Canis lupus familiaris: one gene and its partner. The protein of the gene in region 1 purifies or fractionates together with the protein of each later gene. This does not show direct contact. Links are inferred from orthologs where the notes say so. Each region holds a gene or a part of one and is shown on either strand. Other genes may lie near its edges.

What was found.
Region 2: the proteins of TSC22D4 (region 1) and NRBP2 purify together in Homo sapiens (affinity purification with mass spectrometry; 3 studies listed by BioGRID and IntAct, counting the BioPlex papers as one, with this or other methods). This does not show direct contact. The link is inferred for Canis lupus familiaris from reciprocal best matches to the Homo sapiens genes TSC22D4 and NRBP2.

The regions. Positions count from the first base shown.
Region 1 is NC_049227.1:9,141,564-9,145,789, forward strand, and holds the start of TSC22D4 (TSC22 domain family protein 4), read left to right. Parts: upstream 1-1,257; 5' UTR 1,258-1,618; intron 1,619-2,059; 5' UTR 2,060-2,338; coding exon 2,339-3,100; intron 3,101-4,226.
Region 2 is NC_049234.1:38,139,739-38,144,011, reverse strand, and holds the start of NRBP2 (nuclear receptor-binding protein 2), read left to right. Parts: upstream 1-1,293; 5' UTR 1,294-1,341; coding exon 1,342-1,464; intron 1,465-1,880; coding exon 1,881-2,003; intron 2,004-2,074; coding exon 2,075-2,176; intron 2,177-2,286; coding exon 2,287-2,376; intron 2,377-2,517; coding exon 2,518-2,573; intron 2,574-2,657; coding exon 2,658-2,752; intron 2,753-2,872; coding exon 2,873-2,896; intron 2,897-2,967; coding exon 2,968-3,051; intron 3,052-3,126; coding exon 3,127-3,182; intron 3,183-3,277; coding exon 3,278-3,373; intron 3,374-4,273. UniProt on the Homo sapiens protein: May regulate apoptosis of neural progenitor cells during their differentiation.

The DNA of each region.
Region 1 (4,226 bases):
ACTGTTTATAGTCCATGAAATAACTATATAAAGCAGGCAAATATGAGAAATTTTCAATATGCTCAAGAATACTTCCATCTGACCAAAATTAATTAGAATCCAATTCCTTCCAAAGCTAGGAGTGAAGGCAGATGTGGCTTTTCAACCCTGCTCTTGCTCAGATTGTTGGTTGAGGGTGCCATAAAAGAGAAAGTGGCCATCAGAGGGTTATTTTTTCATTCCAGGCATTGGGTAATTCGGTAAGGCCTTCGTGTGTGTGTGTGTGTGTGTGTGTGTGTGTGGCTTCTCCAATAGCAAAGAAGGGATGGGATGGGAGAGGTGGGCGGGTAGGGCTTGTCCTCAGGTGCATCTGTGTGTACATTATGTATACATGTGTGTGTGACCAGGGTTGGAGAGAAAGTGCAAGTCAGCACATTTCTGAGTACATCTCTTTGTTTCTTTATATAGGGGCCAGACAAGGGCACACCTGAGTGTGTAGAATGTTCCAGCTGTACCACTGACAGCCTCTCGGAACCTTCCGGGTCTCAATATCCACATCTAAGAAGAGGGATAATATGGTGCCTGGGATTTTTAAAAATACTCCAGCACAGCACAACAAGAGGTATTGGGAGTATAGAAGAACCCAGGTTGGTTGTGAGCTGATCATTGTTGAAACTGCACGATGGGGACTTGGGAGTTTATCATTTTTCTCTACTTGGGGGCCCATTTGCAAATTGTCATCATAATCCACGTTTTAAAATAAAGACAGGAAAGAATAACGGAACCTTCCTCATAGAGTTACTGTGAACACCAGTGAAGATATGGCAAGAGCTGAGCAGCAGCTTATGGGGTGGCGGGCACCCAGCAGAGCCCCTGGTTGGCAAGTTCTTGCTCTCTCCGTAGGCCAATGGCAGCAAGTGCCTACAAGTAAGGGAATCCCTGGCCCCCCGGCAAACTCCTCCCCTTTTCTCTCTGCCCTCCACGGCCCCTCCCTCCGAGGAAACGCAGGATTGGGGCCCAGCAGGTGTGGGGTTAAGCCTGTTGCGGGGGGGGCGGGGGGGGGGGGCAGGAACAGCAGCAGCAGTGGCAGCAGAGGTGGTGGCAGGCCTGGCCCCGGGCCAGCTGGCCGGGAGCCCCAGGAGGCAGAGAGGGCGGAGGAAGGGGAGGAAGAGGGGAAGGAGGAGGAGGAGAGGAGCAGTCAGCAGGCCCGAGGAGGCAGGACTTCCTGGTGTGGGGGTTGTCAACAGCCCAGAAAGAGAAAGGCAGAGAGACCGGAGAGAAGAGCCGAGGAGCGGAGAGAGACCCAGCGGTTCCACGCGGAGGAGATTTGAGAGACCTGCTCGCCCCAGCCACCTAGGCGGCTCCACCTGGAGGATCGGGGTGGGGGCAGAGCCGCCTCTTCCCTCACCAGTCCCGGGACCCTTGGGGCTTCGGAGGCCGCGCCTGGGCTCCACCAAGGAGGCGGGGGTCCCTTCTTTTCTGGCGAGCAAACTTTTTACGAAGATGCCTTGCGGGGCGAAGTGCGGCCCCCGAAGAGAAGCGGACAGCCCCTGATCGCCGCCGCGCCCCCCGCGGGAAGGACAGCCCGACATCGTAGGCTCCGGGACCCCCGGCCCAGCTCGGTGGCCGAGGCCGAGAGGTAGGGCTCTGGGCTGGCTGGGCGGGGCGCTGGGGCAGCGGGGCAGGGCCTGCCCGGGATCGGGGAGCTGGGGTGCGGGCAGCCTGGACACTCGGCAGAGGCCTCCCGGCGGCGGGGCCGACCGAGGAGCTGCTTCACCCCTGCTCGTCCAAGGCCCTGGAGCCCCCTCCTGCTGTCGGGCGACTCGGTCCTGTGAGTCTGAATCCCAGGCAAGAAATGCCCAACTTTGGTCTGGGCCGCCCCTTCCTACTCTGTGGGACCGCTGGGATCTCCTGGTCTCAATCGTCTCTGCCAGTCTCTTTGTCTCTGGGTCTCTGGTGGTTTCCCCTTCCTCCCCCATCCTGCTCCCCAGAGAGGAAGCCCCAGAGGTGGCCTGCCCACTGCTTTCTCACACACACACACACACACACACACTCTCTCTCTCTCTCTCTCTCTTTCCAGTTTGCAAACTCAGCTCTGGAGTTGGGCAGCGCCAGGGGCAGGAAAAACCTGCCCCTGCCCCTGCCCCCACCTCCTGCCACCTCCCCTGCCCTGTGCTCCCTTTACCAGCCAAGTACCCCCAGTTCCTGCAAAGCCCTCCTGCCATGTCGGACCCAGATGTCCCCAGGGGCCCTGATGCCCCCGCCATGTGGCCCCCCTGTTCCAGGGGTGCCTGAGCCCCTGGAGGAGCCCCAGCTGCACCCCCTGCCCACCTTGGCCGAGTCCTGAGCCCCAGGGACCATGAGTGGGGGCAAGAAGAAGAGTAGTTTTCAAATCACCAGCGTCACCACGGACTATGAGGGCCCAGGGAGCCCAGGGTCTTCAGAGCCCCCTGCCCTGCCGGGCCCCACCGCGCCCCCACCCCGTCTGCCTAACGGGGAGCCCAGCCCCGAGCCAGGGGGCAAAAGCACCCCCCGGAACGGCTCCCCACCACCTGGGGCCCCCGCCTCCCGTTTCCGGGTGGTAAAGCTGCCCCATGGCCTGGGAGAGCCTTATCGTCGAGGCCGTTGGACGTGTGTGGATGTTTACGAGAGAGACCTGGAGACCCCTGGCTTCAGCCGGCTCCTGGAAGGAGTTCGAGGGGCCTCGGGGGGCACTGGGGGCCGATCTTTGGATTCCAGGTTGGAGCTGGCCAGCTTGGGCCTGGGTGCCCCAACCCCGCAGCCAGGCCTGTCTCAGGGCCCCACCTCCTGGCTCCGGCCGCCCCCTACCTCCCCTGGACCTCAGGCCCGCTCCTTAACCCGGGGGCTGGGCCAGCTGGCAGTACCTGGTAAAGCCAAGGTGGAGACACCCCCTCTGTCAGCCTCCCCACCCCAGCAGCGTCCCCCAGAGCCCAGGACAGGGGATAGCGCCGGCCCCTCCCGGGCTGCCACGCCCCTGCCCTCCCTGAGGGTGGAAGTGGAGGCTGGGGGCTCAGCAACAGGGACCCCTCCACTATCCCGATCAAAGGATGGAGCCCTGCGGCTGAGGATGGAGTTGGTTGCTCCAGAGGAGATGGGGCAGGTAAGAGCTGGGTTCTGGGGTCAGGGAGACACCTGAGGGGTGGTGCTTGTTCATCTGGGCCTGGGCCTAACCTCCAGCTTGGGCCTCCCTGCCTCCACCTCCTTACCACCCTCTCCCCATTCCAACAACACGTGTCTGTCCCTCTTTTCTCTTCTTGCCCTCTTCCTGGGAAGTAGTCCATCCTCCTCTTCATGCAGCCTTGTTTTCTTTCTCAGGCTCCCTCTTCCCCTATATCCTGCACCTTCTTTCTTTCTCTAAGCCTTTGTTACCTTTGGCCTCCATCTCTGTTTCCTTATAGCTTAGTGCTGTCTCGCCATCACAGAGATGTCGGCTTCACACTTTGGCCCTCACCTTCTGTCTTGGTTTCACCCCTTCTGGCTTCAGGCATGGGGGATGGAGGTCCCAGATGGGGGTAGGTGCTTGGGCCTCTGGGAGAGGAGCTGTCCAGGTTGGTGGGGAGGGGTAAAAAGAAAGTCTCCCTGGCCGCACCACGCACCATTCCAAAGGTGACGGTCTGTCTTCTTATTAGCCACTCATCCCAGCCCCATCTGCAGCTTTGTCCCAAGTCAAATTTCTCCAAGGACGTGATGAACTAGGTGGGATGGAGGGCTTGGCGGTGTGTCCTTTCTGCCCTCAGGCCCCTGTCTCCGCTCCCCTGCATCTAGGCCTCTCCATGATTGATAACTGGGGGTGGCCACCAGGGAGTGGGAGAGAGGCAGGAAGCAGTGGAGAAAGAGTTAAATCCTCTGGTCTTTCTGCTTCCTGTCTCCAAAAGAGGAACAAGTCTGGGCTGGGGGGCAGGATGCCTGGGTCCCTGGGGTGAGGGTGGGCCGCCAGGGATGTGGGGGATGGATGTGTCTGTCCTGAAGGAGAAAATAACACCTTGGACTTCAGGAGCGAGGGCAGGGAGTGTGAGGATGAGAACTTTTCCCCCTTCCTGGCCTTGGGCACAAACCACAGTATAAAAATAACCTGGGACTGGATGTCTGGGCCCTGTCAGGACCGGTCAGGACCGGCTACCCCCACCCCCTCCTGGCCTCAAACTCACATATCTCATGCTGCGCCCCCTACTTTTCTGGAGCTTTCATTAAATTCCTACCCCAGGGGAGAAGATGCTCTTTCCTTT
Region 2 (4,273 bases), on another chromosome or scaffold:
CTAAGGACGTTGGCACAGAGATGCAGTGGGAGTTCAGGGCTGGGGTTGGAGTTTGAGAGAAGGTACATGTGTGTACCAGTTCTCTCCCTAGAAAGAGAGAATGAAGGAGGGGTGAGAACTGAGCTGGTGTGCGACGGGGAGACCATGGGCAGGCAGTGGGGGCTGTGGGGTAAAGGGAGATTTAGAGAATTGTAGAGCATGTGTCCTGTTGACATGGCCACAGGGCCCATGAAGAGCCTCCTGGAGAGAAAGGCGCTGTGCGTCAGGAGGGCCCTCTACTTTAGCCTCCTCCTATGGGGGGGTGTGGGGAGCTATCCAGGGGAGGGGAAGAGAAGGGAGGAATTTGCCATTTCGGATTGTGGAATGGTGAATACCTGCAAGCGAATAGGAAGAACAGAACTACAGGTAGTGGGATGTTTGTGATCCTGAATTAAAAGCGGCTGGTCAGCCTGCTGACCATCCCTCCCCTGCCCGGCCCACGTGTTCATGGGGGGGCGGCGGTCGCTCCAGGAGCAGGGCCTCCCAGATGCCCACCCCAGGTCCCGCCCGCCCGGACCCTCGGCGGCGCCCCACCCTGGCCGGCTGCAGCCCGAAGCCTGGACTCGGAGCCGCCATCGGGGGCTGTGTCTCGGGGTGTGTGGAGCAGGAGCGCGGTGCGGAAGGGGCGCACGGAGAACCTGCGGCTCCTAGAGCTGGGCCCGGGCGTGTCCCGGAGCCCTGACCCGGCCCCACGCAGGTCGCCGGGCGGCCAGGGAGGACCCGACGTGCCCGGCTGCAGGCTGGCACCCAGAGCCCCGAGGTCGGGACCCTGGAGTCCTCTCCCCGCGGCCTGGGGGCTCAGGCTTTCCGCAGGAGCAGGTCCCCAGCGGGAGCACAGGGGCAGGCCGAGGAGGGACAGGCGGGGCGGGCGGCCAGGACAGCCAGGGCGGCGGGCTGGGAGCAGGGTCTGGAGGGGCGAGCCCTCGGGTGGGCGGGGCCTTCCCGGTGGACGGGGCCTCCCGGTGGGCGGAGCCAGCGGCGGGTCCGGCGGGGCCTCCCGTGTGGGCGGGCCCTTCCCGGTGGGCGGGGCCCGGGCTGGGCGCGGCGCGGGCTCGGCCCTCGGCGGGGAAGCTCCCTTAGCGCTCCGGCCCGCAGCGGCGGCTTCTGAGGGGCGGGCGGGCTCCACCCCCGCGGGCCGGGCGCCGGCGCCTCGGATTCCGGGAGCTGGGTGGGGCCCGAGGCGGCGGCCGGCCGCTCAGCTCCCGCTGGGCGTCTGGGCGCAGGGCCAGGGCGGGCGGGGAGCGGCGGCGGCGGCGGCGGCGGCGGCTCTCTCGGAGGGCGGCGGCCTGGGCCGGACGAGCCATGGCGGCCCCGGAGCCAGCGCCCAGGCGGGGCCGGGAGCGGGAGCGGGAGGATGAGAGCGAGGACGAGAGCGACATCCTGGAGGAGAGCCCGTGCGGCCGCTGGCAGAAGCGGCGGGAGCAGGTGGGCCGGGGCGGGGCGGGGGGCGCGGGGGCGCGGGGTCACGGCCCACCTCGCCGAGGGGCGCGGGAGGCCACGCCGGGCCGGGGGCGCCGGGCAAGGAACCTGCCCCCTGGTTAGCGGCCCTTGGACCCCTTTGGCCTGTTCCCACGCTCTCTGGGGGAACCCCAGTTCCCTAAGGTCCACCTCCTTATGCCTCTGCACCAGACCGGCCGCTGGCCCCGTGAAGACCCTCCTGAATCCCCCGGAATCTGCTCCGCGTCCCCAAGCCCAGCCCCCGGAGACCACTGCTGCCCCAGCTTCCCCGGGGGGCCAGGGCCAGCACTCAGCTCGCTCTCCCCTCCAAGGAGTGGGCAGAGACAAGCCCCCACTCTGCTGCCCGACACCCATCACACTCACATCCATCCCCTCCCCCCCAGGTGAACCAGGGGAACATGCCCGGGGTCCAGAGCACCTTCCTGGCCATGGACACAGAGGAGGGGGTGGAGGTGGTGTGGAACGAGTTGCACTTCGCCGACAGGAAGGCCTTCGCAGCCCATGAGGTGAGGCCTGCCCACCCTCGAGCGGCTGTGCCCCCCTCCCTTCTCCCCCGTGACCCCACTCCCCTTCCCAGGAGAAGATCCAGACCATGTTTGAGCAGCTGGTGCTGGTCGACCACCCCAACATTGTCAAGCTGCACAAGTACTGGCTGGATGCCTCAGACGCCTGGGCGCGGGTGAGCCACGGCTCGTCCCAGCACCCGCACACGGAGGGTGGGGTGGGGCCCAGCTGGGGTGGGGGTGGGAGGGACCCACCTGCAGTTGGCGGAGCCCACCCGCCCCGCAGGTCATCTTCATCACGGAGTATGTGTCGTCGGGCAGCCTCAAGCAATTCCTCAAAAAGACCAAGAAAAACCACAAGGCCATGAACGCTCGGGTATGGGGAGTGGGCTGGGACTGCATCAGGGATGTGGGTGAGGGGCAGCTCGGGGAACGGGCTGGGGCCAGTCGGGTGGGAGGTGGGGGTGCAGGGTGGGCACCACAGGCCCAGCCACCTCTCCGCATCCGTCCAATGAAGTCCATCCGCCACCAGGCCTGGAAGCGCTGGTGCACACAGATCCTGTCTGCACTCAGGTGAGGGCCTGGCCTGGTCTCTGCCACCCCCCATGCCCTCGGTGCCCCCGCCCTGATTACACCTGCTCTCCTTTCCCCCTGCAGCTTTCTACATGCCTGCAGCCCCCCCATCATCCACGGGAACCTGACCAGCGATACTATCTTCATACAGCACAACGGCCTCATCAAGATTGGCTCCGGTGCTGGCGGGGTTAGGGGGGGCTGGCGGGGGAGGGGGGCTGCGGGAACCCCTGGGCAGAGGACATCCAGTGCCCCATCACATTGACGCCTACTCTTTCTCCCTGTGGTGGCCGGTGCAGTGTGGCACCGCATCTTCTCCAACGGTGCGTGGGGTCTCAGGGGGTTGGGGGGGCATGGAGAGGTGCAGTCTGCTCATCCTCTGCGCTTTCCACAGCACTCCCAGACGACCTCCGAAGCCCTATACGTGCGGAGCGTGAGGAACTACGGAACCTGCATTTCTTCCCCCCAGAGTACGGCGGTGAGTCCTGGGTCCAGGAGCTCCTGGTGTCACCACATCTTCCCTATCCACTGTGACTTGCCCTCCCCCCTGCAGAGGTTGCCGATGGCACTGCTGTGGACATCTTCTCCTTTGGGATGTGTGCGCTGGAGGTACTAGCCCCGGGGCCTCATGGCCTCCCAGATAGCTCACCCTGCATCTCACCGTGCTGTCTCTTCTCCGTGCCTGACCTGGCCCTGCCTCCCAGATGGCTGTGCTGGAGATCCAAGCCAACGGGGACACCCGGGTCACGGAAGAGGCCATCACTCGTGCCAGGCACTCACTAAGTGACCCCAACATGCGGGTAAGCAGCTTGCCTCACTCCTCCCAACTGGTTCTCAAGGGTTCCATGTGGGGCCATTGTGGTGTTTGGGTCAGGCCTGGAGGTGCAGCCGTCCGTGCCGCTGAGGGGGACGCCAGTCCCACTGCACAAAGGCCTACCTGCGAGGAGGGTCTTTCCTCATGGTGTGTGTTGAGTTTCAGGCCTGAAGGCTCTAAGGGTCCTTCTAAGGAGGGAGAGACTAGACAGATACTCCCTCTGTGAGCCTATTGTTCTGCTGGTTCTGGAGACAGGAAAGAGGCTCCGAGAGGCTCGAGCCCACATCCCTGCCTTGAACCCTCCAGGAAACCAGCTAGAAGCCACGTGACTTATGTTGGGGGCCAGAAAAGGGAGTGTGGAGTGGAAGCCGTGTCCATAGTCTCTCTAGACTATCTGGCTTGACCACATGGCCTCTAGAGATCAGGGTCAGAAGTGATGGGGCCAGGATGGGGCTGGGATGGGACCCGTGAGGCACAAAGCCGGCAAGGCAGCGGAGGATGCAGATGCGTATGTGGGGCAGGGTGGGGCCCCATCAGGGTCATCCCCGGAGTTGGGCCTGAGCTGAGGTGCAATCTGGGGCTGCAGGGCAGGGGCTGGTGTCCCCCACCAGGCAGAGCAGACCTCATCTGTGAACTGCAGATGACGACACCTACTCCCTGTGGTTTTTGTGAGGGTTATGGGAAGTAGAGCATGGAAAGTTCTGGGCCTCGGGCCTGACTGTCCTACTGGTAGAACCAGGTCCTGGCCTCGCTGCTCACAGTATGTGGCTCCCTATGCCCATTCCTGGAAGACTCCCATGAGGACTGGACCCTGGGGATTTGGGGACTTCAGGGGCCTCCTCCTCACACTGTGGAGCTGGAGCAGAGATTCCACCCACTTGAGCCT